Drosophila melanogaster: one gene and its partners. The protein of the gene in region 3 interacts with the protein of the main gene of each other region in a pairwise test. Each region holds a gene or a part of one and is shown on either strand. Other genes may lie near its edges.

Region 1 (3,542 bases), on a different chromosome or scaffold from region 3:
GGTTTCGATTGGGCATAAATCTTCATTGCCTTCGTATGTGGGTTGCACTTGAGATTCCTTTCTAATTGTACGTGACACACGACGGGCCTCGGAAACCAGGTCATCTAACAGTTGTTGGCATCTTCGCGACCTTGAGCTGTCGTCGGGAAAGAACCAGTTCCTCGTTGGCCGGGAGTCCGGTATTAATGCTTCCCGCTGGCCAAGTGGGTGGATCTAATCTTGTAGTCAATTAATTTGGCGGCATGCGAGTTGGCTATGTCAGATAATTAGTCCATTGATTTGTATGGAAAGTCTAGGTGAATATGATTCGACGAGGGCTTAAACTCATAAAGGAAACCTGCTCCGAACTGCCTTTCCTGATCTTGATGTCGTCAATTCGAGATATTTATAGTTTGAAGGGCACTTTTTATACTTAACCCATCCGCAAACAATCAAGCCAAACAAGGCGGACTTAATGCACCATTAGCTACTATGGCCAAGCCGCAATAAAAATCTCACTCTATAAAACACATAAGGTAGACCTTTGTTTAAATTTTCGTATTTAAATTTCAAATTTATTGGTGTAATTATGCATTAGTCAACAACGTGTAACAGGAAGAATGAGTTCTTCAGTCGAGATTTGCTTAAGTTAATGGAGTCCAAGATGTAGCCTTCCTAGAAACGCAGACGACGGAACACAGAAGTGGGCAGGTAGGCGTTGTCGGGGATCTGGGCGTTAGCCTTCTGGACGGGTCCAGCGGAGGCGAAGTTCAGGGCGGGTGCAACACCACCATCATGAGCCTGAGAGGATCCTCCCAGCTGGTCGTACTGACCCTGGATGGCGCGCTGGGCGTTGGCAGCATCCTCGGGAGTGCGGTACTTGACGAAGTGCACCTCGGGCTTGTTGTTGTTGTTGTTGCGGATGGCGTTCAGTTTCTGGGCAAGATCTCCAATATCAGCCTGCTTGTTCAGGACATAGATGGCGGTCTCCTGCTGGGCAGCCTGCTTGGCGAGGGCCAGGGCAGCGTTCTCCAGACCACGGTTCTCGGGTCCCTTGATGAAGACAACGCGCAGTCCCTTGTTTACGGATCCAGCAACACGCTCCAGTTCTTGTGGCTCATCGAAGTCCTGCTCGTTGGCGGAGTAGGTGAAGAATTCCTTCTGGAGCTCAGCAGCGGGAGCGGGGGCGTTGTAGGAGACTGGAGCGGCCAGAGCGTCGCCACCTCCTAGACCACCGAGTCCACCAAGACCGCCAAGACCGGAATCGATGGAGCCACCACCGATGGAACCACCAAGGGATCCACCTCCGATGCTTCCTCCTCCGATAGAGCCACCACCAATGAGGCCTCCTCCAATAGAGCCTCCTCCAATAGAACCTCCTCCGATGGAGCCTCCTCCAATAGATCCACCACTGATAGAGCCGCTGCCAGGAGCGAAGGACAGTCCGGAGCTGGAGTGGCCAACGGGCTGGTAGTTGTAGCCGAGCTTATCGGCGCAGGTGACTGCCACCAAACACAGGACCTGGAGGCATGAAAAGAGAAGTGTTATCCTGGCGTATAATCCTTTGAATCCTTAACCGCGCTACTTACAATGAATGCGCGCATCTTAAGCAGATTGCTGGTTCTTTTGCTTTGAGGTATGAGTTGCTTGTGTCTCTGGCTAGGAGCGATCTTTATTATTTATACAAATCCATCTTGGAGGCTGATAAAGACAAAGATACCGCCGCGGCGTCTGCTGCACGGAGATTTCTTTGAAGCCACTGTGTTTTGCCGCCTACAAAGGTTTTTGCTTCCTCTGTTTTTTTTAATGTTCGGTGTGGAATTTTTTGGTTGCGTTTCAATGGGCAGAGTCTGGCCGTCGTGGGTTATTCAAATATTTCGAGTTTCGTCCAATAGTTTACAAGAATTCATATTGAATTATAAAATTAATATGTCGCGAGCACGTCGGAATGAGTTTAACATGCAGATGGGTCATAATTAGGTACGAGTATTATATAAAATACATTTTTTTGACAAATTCTTCGGCAAGGCTAAAAGCTTGTTTTATGTAGGACATCTGCACTTGGTTTTTCCGACTGAATGACAATCGTTTAGTCATTATAATCGTTTTCGACACATCTGTTTAGTTCTGATTTATGGACATGATGCAAGCGCTAAATTTAGCAAGTCGTCTAATGAGATGTTTGAAATGCCGCCCCCAGTTCATTGATTCTTTATTTTCGCATATATTACTAATGAAATAAAAAATTTAACTTGAGAGTGGTGAAAACGATATGTTTATATTTAATTTAACTTTTTTGTCGTAAAAACATTTTGCCTACATTTAAAATATGCGGAAATATTTTATTTTATTCTTTTCCCAGTACTTCGTAGGATAATATTTTGGTTATGACAAATATTAAACGTCAAGGTCATCGGGAAGCTGCCTTGGGTAATATAGCTTACCAAATTCTTAATGAGTTTTAAAGGTCTTTTGCTTTGTATTAAGTTAATAGCGTTGCACCTTTTTAAGAATAAATTCAAATTAAAAGTCATTACCAAACTTTTTGTGCAATAAAAACAGGTCGAAAAATCTCACCAAAGACTGAAATAATTTTCTAAAAGCCCAACTTGTAACTCCACTCATGTTGTCATCGGAAGGTATACACTATTGTTTACTACACCACCATCCAATATAAAATATCATAGAATGTTTGTATTCAGATTTTTGTATATTATTTATCAATAGATTTCAACAATAAGATTTAACAAGAACAGTCAACGCCTTCATCTCGAAGTCGTTAAAATATTTACAAACGACGACGGAAGATGGAAGTGGGCAGGTAAGCGTTCTCAGGGATCTGAGCATTAGCCTTCTGGACGGGACCAGCGGAGGCGAAGTTCAGGGCGGGTGCCACACCACCGTTGTGGGCCTGAGAGGATCCTCCCAATTGGTCGTACTGCGACTGGATGGCGCGCTGGGCGTTGGCAGCATCCTCGGGAGTGCGGTACTTGACGAAGTGCACCTCGGGCTTGTTGTTATTGTTGTTGCGGATGGCGTTCAGTTTCTGGGCAAGATCTCCAATATCGGCCTGCTTGTTCAGGACATAGATGGCGGTCTCCTGCTGGGCAGCCTGCTTGGCGAGGGCTAGGGCAGCGTTCTCCAGACCACGGTTCTCGGGTCCCTTGATGAAGACAACGCGCAGTCCCTTGTTTACGGATCCAGCAACACGCTCCAGTTCTTGTGGCTCATCGAAGTCCTGCTCGTTGGCGGAGTAGGTGAAGAACTCCTTCTGGAGCTCAGCAGCGGGAGCGGGGGCGTTGTAGGAGACTGGAGCGGCCAGAGCGTCGCCACCTCCTAGACCACCGAGTCCACCAAGACCGCCAAGACCGGAATCAATAGAGCCACCACCGATGGAACCACCAAGGGAACCACCTCCAATGGAACCGCCTCCGATAGAGCCACCACCAATGAGGCCTCCTCCAATGGATCCTCCTCCAATGGAGCCTCCTCCAATCGAACCACCTCCAATGGATCCACCTCCAATGCTGCCACTTCCAGGAGCAAAGGACAGTCCGGAGCTG
Region 2 (7,882 bases), about 19 Mb from region 3:
GGTAATTTAAACCGAAATTAAATTTTTATGGCACAAAATCGCCTGAATGAGTAATGAAATTGTATTTTTTGGCAAAACTTTTGAAAACAACATAGAGGAGAAATTGTAAGTTTTTCATTCTGTACATTCTGTATGGAAACATTTTCTGTTGAATACAGGTGAATAGTGAATTTACTATAAAATTAAGCAAGTTATGTATTCAAATGTTAGACAACTATTTTTATAGATTTATCAGGGGTTAGTTCATAACATGGCCAAAACAGATATCACCGCTAATATGCAGTCTGTTTCGTACTGCCAATAAACATAGCTAACTATCCCTATCACTATTTTCATTATTATTATATTATTAAACTCTTGGACAGCTATTATAAGATATAACCGCTTAAATAAATACTATTTCGTACTGCCAATAAACATAGCTAACTATCCCTATCATTAAAATTTGCGAAAAATGGGAAAAAAAAAATTAATTTTTATTTCTTCATACAGGACGATAGGGAATTTTGCTACGAATTCAATGAGGTTGACATTTAACTCTTTGACAGCTGTTTTTAATGCTATTGAGAAAATACTGATTACTTTTTACCAAAAATAAACAAAATAAAAATTGCCAAAAATAAACAAAATAAAAATTTGCAAAAATCGGATATTTACAAACGGGTTTTTTTTTCATAACTTGGCCAAAAAAGATTCACCGGCAAAATTAGGACTACAGATTGTTGTTTGCCAAAAAAAAAGAGCAAGATAAAAATGTTGTCTCCATAGCTGCGACAAAAAATTGTATCACAGGTATTTTGAAGACTGCTGTTTATAAAACTAGCTAACTGTCCCCATACCTATTTTATGTTTTTCGAATACAAACTAAGATCTGTGAAAAATAGAAACTACCAAAGGATGACATTCCAAAACAGGTGCCAAGCTAACGGGTGTCGAGAAACGCGTAAAGCAAGTAAAGCCTTTTTAATTTAAAAAGTGGATAGGCTAAACTTTATATAATTTTTGACACTTTGTCTTTAAGCGAACGGCGGCAGAAGAGCCAGATTCCACCGACTTCTACTGGAAAAACTCGTTTCGCGTTTTTTCTTAAGCGTTGAACCAATATGGTAACTCCTTTTACTGACCAAAATTTCAGAGAGAAATTCACTAAACGCACCGAATGTTTACCTTTTCATCAACAAAATAATATTGGCTGCCTCAATTTTCGCTTCTTGTACATGTTCTGTATAGGCTTTAATTGATATTTCTCTTAAACCATCAACAGGTTTTCGGTCGACTTGGCCAATTGCAGTTGGAACCAAACCGCTTCTTACCCCCTTTTCTTTCAAGCTGGCAATTTTTCTTGTGTTTCAGGTTTTCCTTAGTGCAAAATTGAGCGGAAAAACTCGGCCGATTTTGCTTCCAGTCTATATTCATATATCCAGCTCAACCATTTGGCACTTAACACTGCAATTACCAGCGAAATTTCAATATTTCCACAAGGGACTTAATCGCCGGAATCATGATACTCTTACATTCGTAAAAGTTATTGTGCGCTAAAAAAGGCACCCATATTTGTCAGGCACTGGACAGGTTGTGAGCCTTCAAAATGTGGTATGTAATATAGTGGTTCGGGAAGATTATTCATATTCATGTCTCCGGACCCCAAAAACTTTAAAACCAGTTAAGGATCACCAGCTATCGCTTGACATTTGTTCACCTAACACACGATCACAAAGCGAGTTTTAAAGAAGGCCTTTACAAAAGGTGGGGGGCACGACTCTACGTGATGGGGCCGAAAGACTTCGTCTACGACGCCTGGTCTTCGGCTATTTTTGTTCGGTTAAGCAAACCCGAAATTCAAGCCACCAGTCTTCAGTTCAAACTCAGTCAATAAAGTCGCAGTGCGGAAAAATATCGCAGACTCGAGAGTTGAAAACAACAAATAATAAGTAGCATAACTCTCTCTCTGTCGCACTCAATCAGGCCTGGGCCTGGCAGACTGTGTGTAAAATAAATAAATCAAAAAACAAAATTCAAGACATTATAGTGAATTTAAAGTGAATTATCAAGTATATATTCGCGTCGCGTTGGAAAATATACTTTTTTTTTTTTTTTTGTTTCTATAATAAAGTTTTGTCTAAGTGTAATTCTTTTAGCCAACCAGGTTTTAACTTTAATTAGACACATTCCAAAAGGTGAGCTCCAAACGTGTCTTAGGGCCAAAAGCTGGGCCTTCGAATGACGACGGCACGATCCCCCACATTCCCCGCTTTGTATTCCGATTTTATCTTGGCTTCAACTGCAGATTTTTCCACACTAGCTAAAGCGTGTTTAGCTTTGCATTCCGATTTTATCTTGGCAACAGAAACAATAATGCGCCAGATATAATTATTAAATCATGGCAAGCAATGGCTTGAATGCAAAAAGCAACAAGTTCTGATATGGGGAAACCGGTTCTGGAATAGCTCTTCCACAAGCTCGCACACAAGATTGTTGATCCTGTTGCTCAAATCATTTAAGATTCAGACAGGTTCACTTTTAAATTTGGATGCATTTATTAACTGAGTACCGAAAAAAATTAACCGTTGCTACGCTTTTTGAGAATGTGTTTCTTTGGTTCAGAGCCCGTTTTCTTAAGTATTTTTAACTCTATTTCAGAGCTTGTTTTTAAACAGATTTAACAGTACAGATATGATAAAGGTAAACCATTAACTAAATTCGACCAAAATTATGTTCAACACCACACTCTTCTGACATAAAAAAAAAAAAAAATGAAAACACAGGCTATAGACGAGTGCCATGACTGCAAAGCAAATGCAGATATATTTCTATATAATAAAAATATTTTTCGAAAGTGTATAGATATTTCGTTGTGGATTCTTTGTCAGTTGCATGGAAACGGCGTATACGCAACAAAAAATTATTAGGCATGTCCAAACAGAGACATATGATTAAAATTCCCGAAGCATACGCAGATCAACCATCAAAAAACCTCAATTATAAAGTGGAAACACTAGGAAAGGAAAGTTTGATGACAACGTCCTAAATGTTCGCGATTACACTGAACTTTTTTTTTATTTTTTCGAATTGACTGCCACTGATGGTTAAGTCAGCAGAATTTGTTAATCTGTCTGTCTCTATTTTATTATCGTTTCCAACCGTTCTGTGCCTATCCATTTGATGTAAGATATCCTTGACTTTTGGGGCCTTCCCGCAGAAACAAAGATGTTTACAGTTATATACGTGTAAGCCCTTAAGCATCAATTGATTAAGTCCCATCTGATTTCGTGTATGTTTCCAACAAGAAAAAAGCTTAAAAGTGCATAGAAGGCATTCCAAATGGTTGCAAATAGAAAATAAGAAATAATAAAAAAAAAAAACATTTCAGAGAAGCAATTGACTTTGTTGAAATAGAAATAGCTTTGAAAGTGGCACAAAGCAATTTTAATGCTGAATGGAGCGTGAAGTTGTTCAGCTGCAACGCAAAGCATTTTTTAAGATTTTATTTTCGATTTTTGGGCCAACAAGAGTAGACATCTAAATTTAAAATAAAGTGCAATTATACATGACACACACACGATATCCGAATTTGCTTATGAATCAATAATTGGTTTGCAAACAAAAATACAAAGGTTTTATACATCGAAACAACTTTTTACACAACCTCGTCGTAGCAAGATATAAATATTTGCAAGATATAAAAATGAAATATCTTTAAAAAGAAAGACTTATACACAAAGCTATATAAACTGGAATTGTCATGCTAACAAAAATTATCTATACATACTTTATACGTTATCATCAAATACTTTCTTCCTTGCATAGAAACCCTTTGATTGAACTCATTTTATCCTAGCCAAGGGAACAATTCGGTCGAAAGCGATGGTAGATTATCATTTATAGGTTTCCTTTTACTACTCCCACGAAATGTAACCACATATTGATGGGTCGCAATAATGATGTCATCCGATCCCAAATTCTCGGAGTAAAGTGCCATCACGCCCGTGCTTAGCTCACTTGACTGGAAGCCGATGATCTAATCTTAATGGGGAATAGCAACATCAACAATCGCCACTATCTTACATCTGAACTTGAAAACAAGCGGAATATAATAAAAAAGTGCTGGTTGTGAACTTCAATAGAATGGCAACGCCGTAAACTTAATCAAAAACAAAGAACTAAAAAGAAAAGTCTTGCAAAGATTTTTAATTCATTGCAGTGGGTATGTTAAATCGTGGCCAAACACGATAGATTCATACAATATGTATATAGAACAATGAAAGTAATGTACTTCACATCTTAGCTCAGATACGAAATCTTGTAAATATAATTCTTAACTAAAAATTAAATAAATTAAATTCGTTAAATCTTCTCACTAAGTTTTTCCAATTTCCTCGTATTGTTTGATTGCCATAATGCTTTTGTTTTTTAAGCCGTTTGTTTGTTTTATTACCTAGCCGGTTGCGGTTGCAGTATCACTGTATCGGTAGTTTGACCAAAATCAGCGTACATTACGTTTATCCTACACATAAATTCCGCGAGTAAGCCCGAAATGCTGCAGATATGGCAAGCCCATTTCCGAGCGTCAACAAATTTCTTTCAGCTTAACAATGAAGGAAAACGGTGAAGCAGTCAGAGTATGTAAATTTAACAGCTAGTTCAAGCAAAAGATAAAACTGTCATTATGCCTTTAATTTTCATAATTTACCTCGAAGAATTATTTGATCACCAATAAATTTTTTTTAATAATGATCAAAAATCAAATATCAAAACTTCAAGCGGCGTAAACTGATACCGACTGGAACTATTTATTTGCTGTGTAATTGGGTTAAAAAGACTTGTCATAGCTCTTCAACTAGAGTAGTATGGGCACAAACTCTCAGTTCGGTTCATCCCCTGTCTGTAAAACGCACATACCAGACCCCATCCTTCCTTCATTTTCCTCATCAGAAGTGGAAAGTCGAGAAAACGTAGTCATAGCTTACTTCCAAATGGTTGGGTACGCCTCGCTGGACACGTTCGTTTGACGTGTCCATGGATCCAAAAATACTTGGATAGCTATGTATCTATATGCCGTTACCCCACTTGGAACATTTTCGATTTCTTCAAGAGATCGGCCGAATTTTTGTACACGCGTTGAAAAATGTGCAATAATTAAATAATTACAAATAAAAAGAGAGGAAATAGTGCAAGACAAGCGTAAAGTTGTTATTTGAGGCTCAAGAGTCAGACTGAGATGTACATGCATATGTATACGTGTATGTATATCCACTTCATATACTGCAAGTGCAATCTCAGGTTACCCAACTCTAGAGGGTGATTAAACTCCTCGTTTGGAAGAGAAAGTGTCCAATAAAGTAAATATATACGTGTTACACACATTTTCGTTATCAAACCTTTATAAACTTCTTGATGTTTAATTTCCTAACATCTTAATATACCCAGACTATATAAATTCAATCTCTGGTTACCGAACTCTAAAAGGTTATTAAACTTCTCGCCTAAATGAAAAAGTGTCGATTAGATCCAGACATAGTTTCATTAAAAAACATTTATAAAGTTCTTAATATTTAAATACCCAATCTCATATATATTCTTAGAGGTTTAAAACGCATTGGGTTTATTATATATTGCTTATTGTTTATTATTATATTGCATCAAGTCTACTGCGATTCTTCGGTCACTACGAGACACCGCAGAACTAAAAAGGATTGCATATTAAGACTTCAGGAGAAAGTGAAATTAAAAATTCTAAAATTTATTATATATATTAATATATAATAAGAGCTGTTCGAGGTCGTAGGGATAAATGTCATTGACATCTTGCTCAAAACGCATCGAATGAAACATCAGTTGTAAAAACCGAACACCTTAAACATTTTACGATAATGCCCCAAAGCTTTTGAGGTTCGTGTTACATTTGCAACTGTATAGCACTTCAGATTGCTTAACTATTTGCTATTTATATACAATTTCTTTCTTTTTTTAATTCGGCTATATAATCAAATCCTCTAAAATGTACCAATTAAATGCACTATAACGTTAAACTCTTGCTAGGTTTAAATATTTTTATGAAGATTGCCGACTGAGTAAATGTAAGAAAGATCATCTGTAGTCAGTATAAAACAAATTACATTTTCAGTTCTACCACATTGTTCACCTTTAATCTCACCTTTTTTCTGCTATTCCAGCGATGTCATAATGGAGGCAATGACCATGCTGGTGTTGGGCTTCCAGTTGCTTGCGCTTTTTTCGATCGCCGGCGCGCTGCTTATCTACCTGATTTGTAAGGTGCGCGAGGATAGCGCATCTGCCAATGCGGATAGTCATCCCAGTCGGGTGGTCCTGATAACCAGTGCGGATACCGCATTGGGTCTTCAATTGTGCACCCATTTGGCTAACAAGGGTTATCGGGTTTTTGCTGGAATGAAAGAGGCCCAAGATTCGCTACCCGCCAAACTTCTTTGCGGTTGGATGAAGATCCGAGAGTACAGTGAGGAACCCATTGCAGGCACAATTATTCCGATGAGATTGGATGTCACCCGAGAGGATGTGCTTCGCGAGGCCACCGTTATTATAGGCGCTAATCTAAATGCAGATGAGCGCGGTATTGCGGCCGTAATTAACACTAGTGGCAGTGTTTTCCGAGGCCAGGTTGAATCGCAGAATGTCCAGCAGTGGGAACACATGCTCAGAACCAACATCCTGGGCACCTTACGTGTGGCCAAGGCCTTTGTGTGTTTTCTCCGTCCGACACGTGGAAGACTCCTTTACTTGGGAGGAGTAAGTGGAGGTGGAAATGCTCGAAACGAAGGTGATGGACTGGTTGCCTTTAACGCCTCACGCGTTGCCGTAGACAAGTGTGCCGAAGAGCTGCGCAAGGAGCTGCATCCCTATGGCGTCAGTGTGGTCGCTTTGGATACATGCGGCATGACGGCGGAGTCATTGTACAAGGCACCAGTGGCACAAAGTAATGTTTTCCATCATCGTTGGGAATCAATTATATATAATTTTATGTTTGTAATTTATTTCAGCCATGTCCTTGGTCGTTGGGGCTCCTACGCAGTATACAGCGGACGTGCTCAGTCCGGACGCTCTTCATGTGATCGAGCGGGCGTTGTGGGACTATGTTCCGCAGCAGCGATATGCGCTTCTAAGTCATAACAAATACCAATTTGCGTTGCCATGTCGCTCCTCGCTGCGACTTCAGAGGCCGGTAGCTTCAACAGTCGGCGAGAGCGCCAGTCAGTCGGTTTAAAATTTGTCTTCTTCCATTTCCTGTACATATGCTCCTGATCCTGATCCCATTTAGTATAACGCGTCTGATCCTGCTCCTTTCCCTAATTTAATATTTTTACAATATATTTCGATTGATGTTTCTTTTTTCTGTTCTGAGGGCTTTTATAATATTTACTTTTTAATCGTTTTTGCTCACACTGCTAACGGTGTAATTGTTGAACGTTATATTTAATGTTATCATACATAAAAAAATAAAGATAATATATGTGCTGTCTATATATGTCTGTCCAACTTCTGGAATTTATACCTTTGTTTTACATTTTACGTTTGTGTAGTTCTTATTCGTACTTCGAGATAAAGTCAAAGCGCAACACGGAGGCCGGGAAAATTTCACCAGCTTTCGCCAATGGTCGATCAGAAGTACGTGCAGGAAGGTTTATTAAAACATCGGCACCAACAATGCTCTGCAAGCGACTACTAATCTAGAATAATCGCAGGAAAACCGTCATAATATGTCGTTTAATTTAAGGAAAAGTGGCTTACTTGATTTCCATTGACGCTCGCGTATAACTCTCCAGACTTCGAAATCACGGAGGCCCGAACGAACTCCGGGCGGCTATCTAAGCTGAAGTCATTAAGCAACTAAAAGAAAATATATTAA
Region 3 (7,851 bases):
AATTAAAGAGAAAGGAGCAGTTTGGTAAGCAGTTAAGAGTTGCAAAAAAAAATGTATATGTAAAGTAACTTGGAGGCCGCTTAGTTATCCCGGATGCCCGTTCCGTAGTTGGCGCCGCCGGCACGGTTCAGTGCTTCACGGAAGAGCTCAATGTCCAGCTCGGCCTCCACTCCCGCCTGAAGTTCCACGGCAAAATTCTGCAAGAGATTAGAGATGAGAGGATCTATTTCTGCCTCTGGGCTCTGGCATCTCTAGCTATTGGCTACTCACGTTGAGGACATCCTTGATCAGCGCCTTGTCCGTGGACATCTTGGCCCTCTGGATGACGCCCACCTCCTGCCCGATCCACGTCAGGAAGATGAACTTTTTGCGCTTGGACATCTCGTCACCCATCTGGATGCGTATGTAGCCAAAGGCGCGCTCCGAGTCGCCGAACTGCTGTCGGAATTCCTCAAAGCACTGACCGCGCGCATGTACAATAATCTGGGCGCCATCGAACTTGAATACCGCCCACTCGGTGTCTGTCAGATCGGAGCGTACATCCTCGTAGGCCTCGCGAATCGAGTCCTTCTCCAGCGACGTGGCCAGCGGCATCTGCGAAAGAGCAAGGGGGAAGAGGATTATAAGCAAGCGAAGAGGGGAACTATAAGCAACTTTCAGACGGAAGTATATATCTTAATCATGTATTCCAAGTCCGAATCGTTTCGCCAAGGCGAATGGATCATCCGCTTTGGCCCATCGATAGCGAAATGTATTGTATGTACTCAATGCGGGGCCAAGTACTCTTGACGGCGCCATCTATGAGTCAGATTTAAGCGGTGCTTTCGCTTTCGATGGTTATATTACATTCAATTCGACTTGTTTCCGTGTCAGGCAACCTCAAGTCGGCCAGGGGAATAGGCACGCCATTGCATCGCCCACTTGCATTACGTTCGGGCAGATTCACGGAAAGCAATTTGTTGCCGCTTTAGTGCTTTATAAACATAATACCAGCGGGCCAGCGGAAAAGTAGCCAATGTAAATATGTACATATTTCGAAGAAAAAATAAAGGCTTTATTATGATAACATACTGGAACATACCCGCATATTAAATTACAGCATTTTTGATAATGATATCAGCACACACATATGAGGGTTCAGGGTTCTGGTTCAAAGCCCAAAAATATGATGATTTAAAAATATCGATATGTAAATGAATTTAAATTGCTTGATAAGTTCGAATGGCTTGATAGTGAAATGTAAAAAACCAAGTCTCAATACGATTTTGGTTAGCTAAAGATTAATTTTAATTGTGGTTTATTAAGTGATCTTTGGGGTAGCATTATGTGCACAAAGTTAGGCTCAGCTTAGATGCGTGGAAAGCGTGTAAAGCGATTGGATCGATGGTTTTTGATACGAGTATACTTGTAGTACGGATCGGAAAACTACCCTTTCACGTAGTGCACTCTTATTGTCTTAAGCGGATCGCCGCATTAAAATCAATTTACGCGTGACAATTTTCAATCAGCAGCCGGCGGAAAGCAGGTCAGAGATTTGATAAGTGACTTGGGGTCGTCGGAACGGGATGACAACAAACAAAGAGAGCCAAATGACTGTTGGTCCAACTGCCAGCCAAATGGATCGGGCTTGGAGTCAGGAACTAGACTCGCGTATAAATAGACATTGAAGCTGGGCCAGAGATACGGATACAGATACAGCTAAAGGTACAAATACAGATACAGATACAGATACCGATGGGAAGATGGAGATAGAGATCGCTCTATAATGCGTTCAATGACCGGAGAGTACGGCGTCTGGTGAGAAAAATCAATTAGAAAAGCGACGACTGTCGAAAATATCAAAAGCCAAACAATTAAACCCAAAGATGTTTCGGGCGACGACTTTCACAACGCGACGCAGTAAGAACTTGGAGTTTGTATGTGTATTCTATGCGTCGCATAGAACTATGGAACAGCTCTGAATCTCCCGTTTCGTGGCTCTGAATTAATTAGTCGGAAGGCAGGCAAAAAAAAAAAAAAAATGAACAAGATGCGGACGCAAACTGTGCCAAAAATGAGCGGACGACTAAGAAACCGTTGCAGCGAATGACCCACCGAAAATACCCGACAAATTTTCCCCCAAACAAGCAAGATAGCAGATACAAATGTATATAGAAATGTCGGTGCTCCTCCTGCAACCTCCACGGGTACGTGAGCCAAATTGTTGGCTAAAATTAGCTGAAATTAAGTTTCCAGCCGATAAGCCCGATAACGTTCGCACATATGTATCTATATACATATATATGCCTATATGGCCATATCTCCACTTCTGACACAATGACAACACGACAAATTAGATCACTCCAGTTGGGCTGGGAGTGCACCCAAAGATCGGATAGGATAGGCTCGGATAGCCCCACCTCCGGAATTGACGCAATGCCATCTATTTGCTCTGATAAGAAAACTGTCGCAAAACTAAAGGAACTGTAATTGATTTATTACCGAAAGTTCTTGGGATCGCCCGGGCAATTAGTGCCGGTTAAATCTGTAGGGCTCGCCTGTTCCAATTTTACACGCCATAAAAATTCAGCAGAGATTGACGCTTAGTCATAGGAATCGAGATATTGCGCTGGCTTCAGGAAATATATCGAAAAAAGGGAAACTACAATAGTTTCAAGGAAAGTCAGAGTGCGTCATCCTCGAAAGATTCGCATAGAAAAGCGAGCGACAGTAGCCAGTCCATAATTGATACGGTTAATCGTGATTCGTGATTCTCGATGGAAAACAGTGAGCAACAGTCTGATAAGTAACCTTGTAGCGATGACAGGAAATGTATATGCATACATATTTTCAGTTTCACTTGGAACCACCAATAATCCTAACAGATCCATTGAGTTAGCCACCTTTCCAGCAGGAAAGCCATCTGCCAAACAATTCGCGCTACTCAAATGGCTTGCGGCCATATCCGATAGATAGATGTACATATGTATTATATCTATCTATATATGTGGATTCGTACGTAATGAGCCATATATGCCCATGTGTGCATTCATACAGCACGCTGCATTGCCAGCTAGATATATGTAGCTATAGTATCTATAGCTATATCCATCGATATCTGGCAATGAGCGGGCCGGCGATGCATCAAACGCGGCTATAACTGCAGCTAAACGTAACCAAGCATAATACAGCAAATAACAATTTGCTAACGAAAACGAAACCGAATCCCCAGCGCCAGGTGCTTGAAACTGACTTGCTGCGTAACTCAACGCTGATACCCTTGTGAAAGGTATCGCAGTTGTAGAAATTCTTGGGATACCTTTAAAATAAACATCTATGAGAACGTATTGTATGTAAATAATCCTGTCCTTAAGTAAACAGCAAGCTATCGAGAACTACAGAGTGAATGGTATTATATCCGTATCTTTTATCATTCGATGCCTGGTATACACCACTGACATTATTTCAAGTTAACTCTGTTTGTATAGTTTATATATCTAATTGTATGGTATATATAGATCGTGAGCTCATAAAGCAAATACTGAAGTATGAACAATAAAAGTTAGAGTATTCACTTTCGATTGCACTAAACATTTTGTATTTTATTCGCTTTTTCATTGTGTATGTACAAGTGGACCGAAAGTGTTTTATGTTGACTAATGAATTTCAGATAAGAAACGAAAAAAATTCCAAATAATACGATCGGGCATGAATAAAGGAAAATAAAGGAGAGGCGATGCAGATATATATATGACATACATGCACAGTGAAAACACAATATGCGGAATATTCGTGGGTCGATGCAACTGACTCATTGGCAAGGCAATTGGAAAATAACCAATAAATTGCAGCGAATCGGTTATTAACCGCTTCGCCTTGGCCAGACTAAGTCCAAAAAAAAAAAAAAAATAAATAAAACAAGCAAAAAAAATAATTGGCAATGTTGTGACAAATTGCCAGTTGCCGCAGCGCAGTCGCAATGACGTACTTGCTCCGGGTCTGGGACCGCCGATATGTCAATGTTCTTTTTCCCCCACTTTACTTTACTTTATTTCATTTCATTTTATTTCTTATTTTTATTCCGCTGCCGTCGATGTTTCATTCGCCACGCACACTAGCACAAACAGTGCAGGAAACAAAGGAGCAAACTGTTTTGTGGCTGCTCACGCCCCAGACGCCCGGAGTCGGGGGATCTGGGATGCCGGATGGGGTTGTGGATGGTCATTCTGATGGGTACGGGGTATCGGTATGGGGTACGGGTTGCGGGTTGCGGGAAACGAGGTTCCGAGTGCGTGATTCATGCCGCCTGAAGGTGACGACGACGACGACGACTCGGGGAGTGGATGACCAAAATTGGCGCGTCAGGAAGCGATTCCCGAGCATTGAAAGGGTGTGGAATGGCCGATATCCCCATCGATTCCATACACTTTTATTACTCACTTGTTTGCCTGCACTTGGAAACCTCGAAATTGTAATATTTATTGGCCTGCACAATCGTTTTGTTTGATGCCATAGAGATTAGGTTGGCGAACAAGTGCTGTGCACCAAAAGTCACATGAAACGCAGATCTTGCGATCAGCTGAACGAAGTACCCGCAAGATAATGGCACTGCAACCATTTACCCAGCTCCCAGTGCCCGCTAAATACCGTAATCTGGAAAGCTATACGTGTTTGCCAGGGCGACGGACTGCGCCGCATTAACCGCAGCGTCTTCGTTGGGTATCGATGGTGTCTCGAGATCCCAGCGAGCAAGTGCAGCAGCGGCAGCCGCACTGCAAACGCACTTGAACTTGATATGCATCGCTGCGAAGGCGTCGCATTCGGATTCAGTTTTTGGGTTCGGATTCGGATTCGGAGTCGCCCCCACAATCTGCATCCGCCCCCGCAATCGCATCCAGCCAAGATGATATTGCCCCTCGGTACTCAGTCCCTGTTCCTGCCCTGCCCTGCCCCTTTCCGCCCAGCCAGCCAGAGCCATAAAACCCAGCTGCCACCCCGCCTCCTGGACCTCTGGCCCTCTGGGGCCGGTTCTTGTGGAGCGGAGTCGCCGGCGAGCCAATGTCAGAGTTATTTACAGACACTCACGCATGCCCAGCGATATACACACACGCCGCATGGGCCTGGGCTTCAGCAACTCCAGTGTGTACACCGGAAGAAAACTGTATTTTGTATCCTTAAAGCCAATGTCCGAGTTCAATACCACTGTTGGTAATTGAATTTTTATATTATTGTATATTTCTACTAATCCCCAATATTTTTCAATATATATTTGAACAATTTAAAGTTCGAAAATCGATCATTATTCTCAAGAGAATATTATTTTTTTTTAGCATTCTTTAATTGTAGGTATTTATAATGTAGTGGTGATTAGAACTTTCTTCCATTTTAAGGTTGTGCCATCGGATTGGCTCAGCCTTAAAAGTGATCAGCATACTGAGTACCCGTTTTCTTTCGGTGCATTTATAAGATATCTCTCCGGCCTGCTCTCTGACTCTCTGGACTTCTGGCTGCCCCATCCAATCTTTTATAATTCTTAATTTTCGGTCGTCCCCTGCCGGTATACACACACATTTCATGGTCCCTGCCCGGAGCAGGACTACCGACTCCATCCATCTCCAACTCCAACTCGAACTCCATGTGTGCCCAACCCACTCCCCACTACTCACCCTTCTCGGCTTGCTCTCCACCAATTGCTCGACCTCGATGCCGTCCGACATGCTGGTGCGCTGTGTTCTGGATGTGGATGTAGATATGGTTTTCAATGCGCAGCTGGGATGCTGGTGCTCTTGGGAACAGCTTCCTGGGATCGCGGGTGAGTCTCGAAGGGGAACGGAGTGCTGGTCTGGCGGGAAGAGTTGACCGTTTGCAAGGTGACAAAGTGGCAGAGTGGCAGAGTGGCACAATGACAACGAAAACAAAAATACACAGCGCCAGAAAAACAACAAAAAAACACAATCCAAGCGCACAAAGAGCGATGGACAGAACCAGCACAGTTCCAGATATCCAGATATTAGAGCAGCCGCTGAACTTCGTCCGACCACCACGAGTTGTATCTCACGAATGCGGCGTTGCCGGCGTCTGCAACTCCGAATGAAGTGCCGACCGTCGACCGCCGAAGTCGGCGGCGCAGTCGCCGTGCGTGCGAGCGAGATGCACTGGCCAGAAGGCCCCACGGCAGCTGTTAGACAAACAGCAGGTGCGACAGAGACGGCTGCGTGGGGAGCAAGCGAGAGCGGGCGAACTGCGACGATGTCGCCGCATTTGGCTTTATTTTCATTTTCATTTTCAGTGCAGGCATTTCGGAAACACCAAAAAAAGCCAGATGTTGGCTAGTGTTTTATGCGTACACCGCGAGAAAATTTAGTCTGCTAGATGCTCCTATAATGATAATGAAGTTTGCATAAATACTTCGTGTTAGCCATCTTAACTGGCAATGGCCACAGGAAACCATAACATCGTGCGCAAATATATGTATAGTCAGATGGATAGAAAAACAACGACTGTACTCCTCCATCTAAACTATGTACGTCCTTAAGGATCAGCTGAATCCCTTGAAGAAGATCTCTTCCTCGATGGTGAAGAGGCTTACGAGAAGTGAATTCTATCTATTCTATCAAAACATGAATTTATTGGATTTATTGGGTTTCTTCGGCAACACGGATTCCTGGCATAGTCATATCCAGTATCCCAGTGGAGTCACGTCTTACCACTGCAGCTCCCGGTCATGTTATTTTCCTTCATCGAGGGCTATTCCATTCACTTCCTGCGCCGAAAAAACGAGCAACAATTGCAAGCGAAAAGGTAGTCTTTGAAATAGATGCTATAGGTGCTAATCGGAATCGCTATATATCCAAAACTATGTCTAGATCAGCACTGATCCCTGCCAGCTTGTCGGCTGGGAATGCGATCCGTGGAATTAGCGCAGAACATTTGTGCAAACACATAACGAGCCGAGATTGTATTCTCTGGCACTCAAGTGCCGTAGGAATGCGGCTGATTTGATGATTAGCGCGGTGCGTGGGCCGAACAGCAGCTGCTCCGCCGCTGCAGACGCCATGGATGATGCAGTGCACCGTATTAATTTGTCCCAATCGGCAGGGAACGTCCTCCGCGCAACATGGGAGTTGCCCGGCAACAGGGCTGCCTGGCAGCATGCTGCTAGCCACAAGTTGCCGTGGTGAGTTTGCGCCATTCGGCATCGCCCACGCAACATGTTGCGGCAGCTAGCCCAGCGGAGCGGAGGCGTCGTCCTCGTCCGCCAGTCGTCAGTTGCCCACGACGCGTTACCCGCAACGGTAGCAGGCGAGCCCTCTCCTGGCAGCCAAAGCCGCCAGCTCGTGTGCTCGGATACCCCCGAGTTCCATATCGCAATCTTTGCCAGCCTGCGCGCAAGCGTCGCCGTTTCAATAGCAATTGAGTGAAATTTTATTTTATTTTTTTCGGTGACCCGCAACGGGACATGTCAGGCGGTGGTGGCCAGTGATTGCCACGAATCACCCGGTCATCCGGGATGTTCAACTACGAGGAGGGGGATGCCGACCAGGCGGCCATGGCTGCAGCGGCTGCCTATAGGGCACTGCTCGACTACTATGCCAATGCGCCAAGTGCGGCGGGTCACATAGTGTCGCTCAACGTGGCACCCTACAATGGAACTGGAAACGGAGGCACTGTCTCCTTGGCGGGCAATGCGACAAGCAGCTATGGCGATGATGATAGGGATGGCTATATGGACACCGAGCCCAGTGACCTGGTCACCGAACTGGCCTTCTCCCTGGGCACCAGTTCAAGTCCAAGTCCCAGTTCCACACCCGCTTCCAGCTCCAGTACTTCCACTGGCATGCCCGTCTGGCTGATACCCAGCTATAGCATGAT

What was found. Proteins that work in one complex are often made in the same cells at the same time.
Region 1: the proteins of CG6891 (region 3) and TwdlB interact in a two-hybrid assay, tested with the Drosophila melanogaster proteins (one large-scale study listed by BioGRID).
Region 2: the proteins of CG6891 (region 3) and CG13377 interact in a two-hybrid assay, tested with the Drosophila melanogaster proteins (one large-scale study listed by BioGRID).

What each region holds. Positions count from the first base shown.
Region 1 is NT_033777.3:26,621,914-26,625,455, forward strand, and holds TwdlB (TweedleB), read right to left. Parts: upstream 1,631-3,542; 5' UTR 1,584-1,630; coding exon 1,569-1,583; intron 1,501-1,568; coding exon 655-1,500; 3' UTR 538-654; downstream 1-537. Other genes in the region: TwdlL (TweedleL), read right to left, coding at 2,768-3,542.
Region 2 is NC_004354.4:257,963-265,844, reverse strand, and holds CG13377 (uncharacterized protein), read left to right. Parts: upstream 1-1,845; 5' UTR 1,846-1,983; exon of another isoform or gene 1,984-2,177; intron 2,178-6,154; exon of another isoform or gene 6,155-6,173; 5' UTR 6,174-6,183; coding exon 6,184-6,952; exon of another isoform or gene 6,953-7,016; coding exon 7,017-7,240; 3' UTR 7,241-7,510; downstream 7,511-7,882. Other genes in the region: cin (cinnamon), read right to left, coding at 7,560-7,703, 7,765-7,863.
Region 3 is NC_004354.4:18,773,424-18,781,274, reverse strand, and holds the start of CG6891 (uncharacterized protein), read right to left. Parts: upstream 6,048-7,851; 5' UTR 5,697-6,047; coding exon 5,646-5,696; intron 4,778-5,645; exon of another isoform or gene 4,420-4,777; intron 1,643-4,419; exon of another isoform or gene 1,430-1,642; intron 595-1,429; coding exon 271-594; intron 198-270; coding exon 81-197; 3' UTR 1-80. Other genes in the region: CCKLR-17D3 (Cholecystokinin-like receptor at 17D3), read left to right, coding at 7,490-7,851.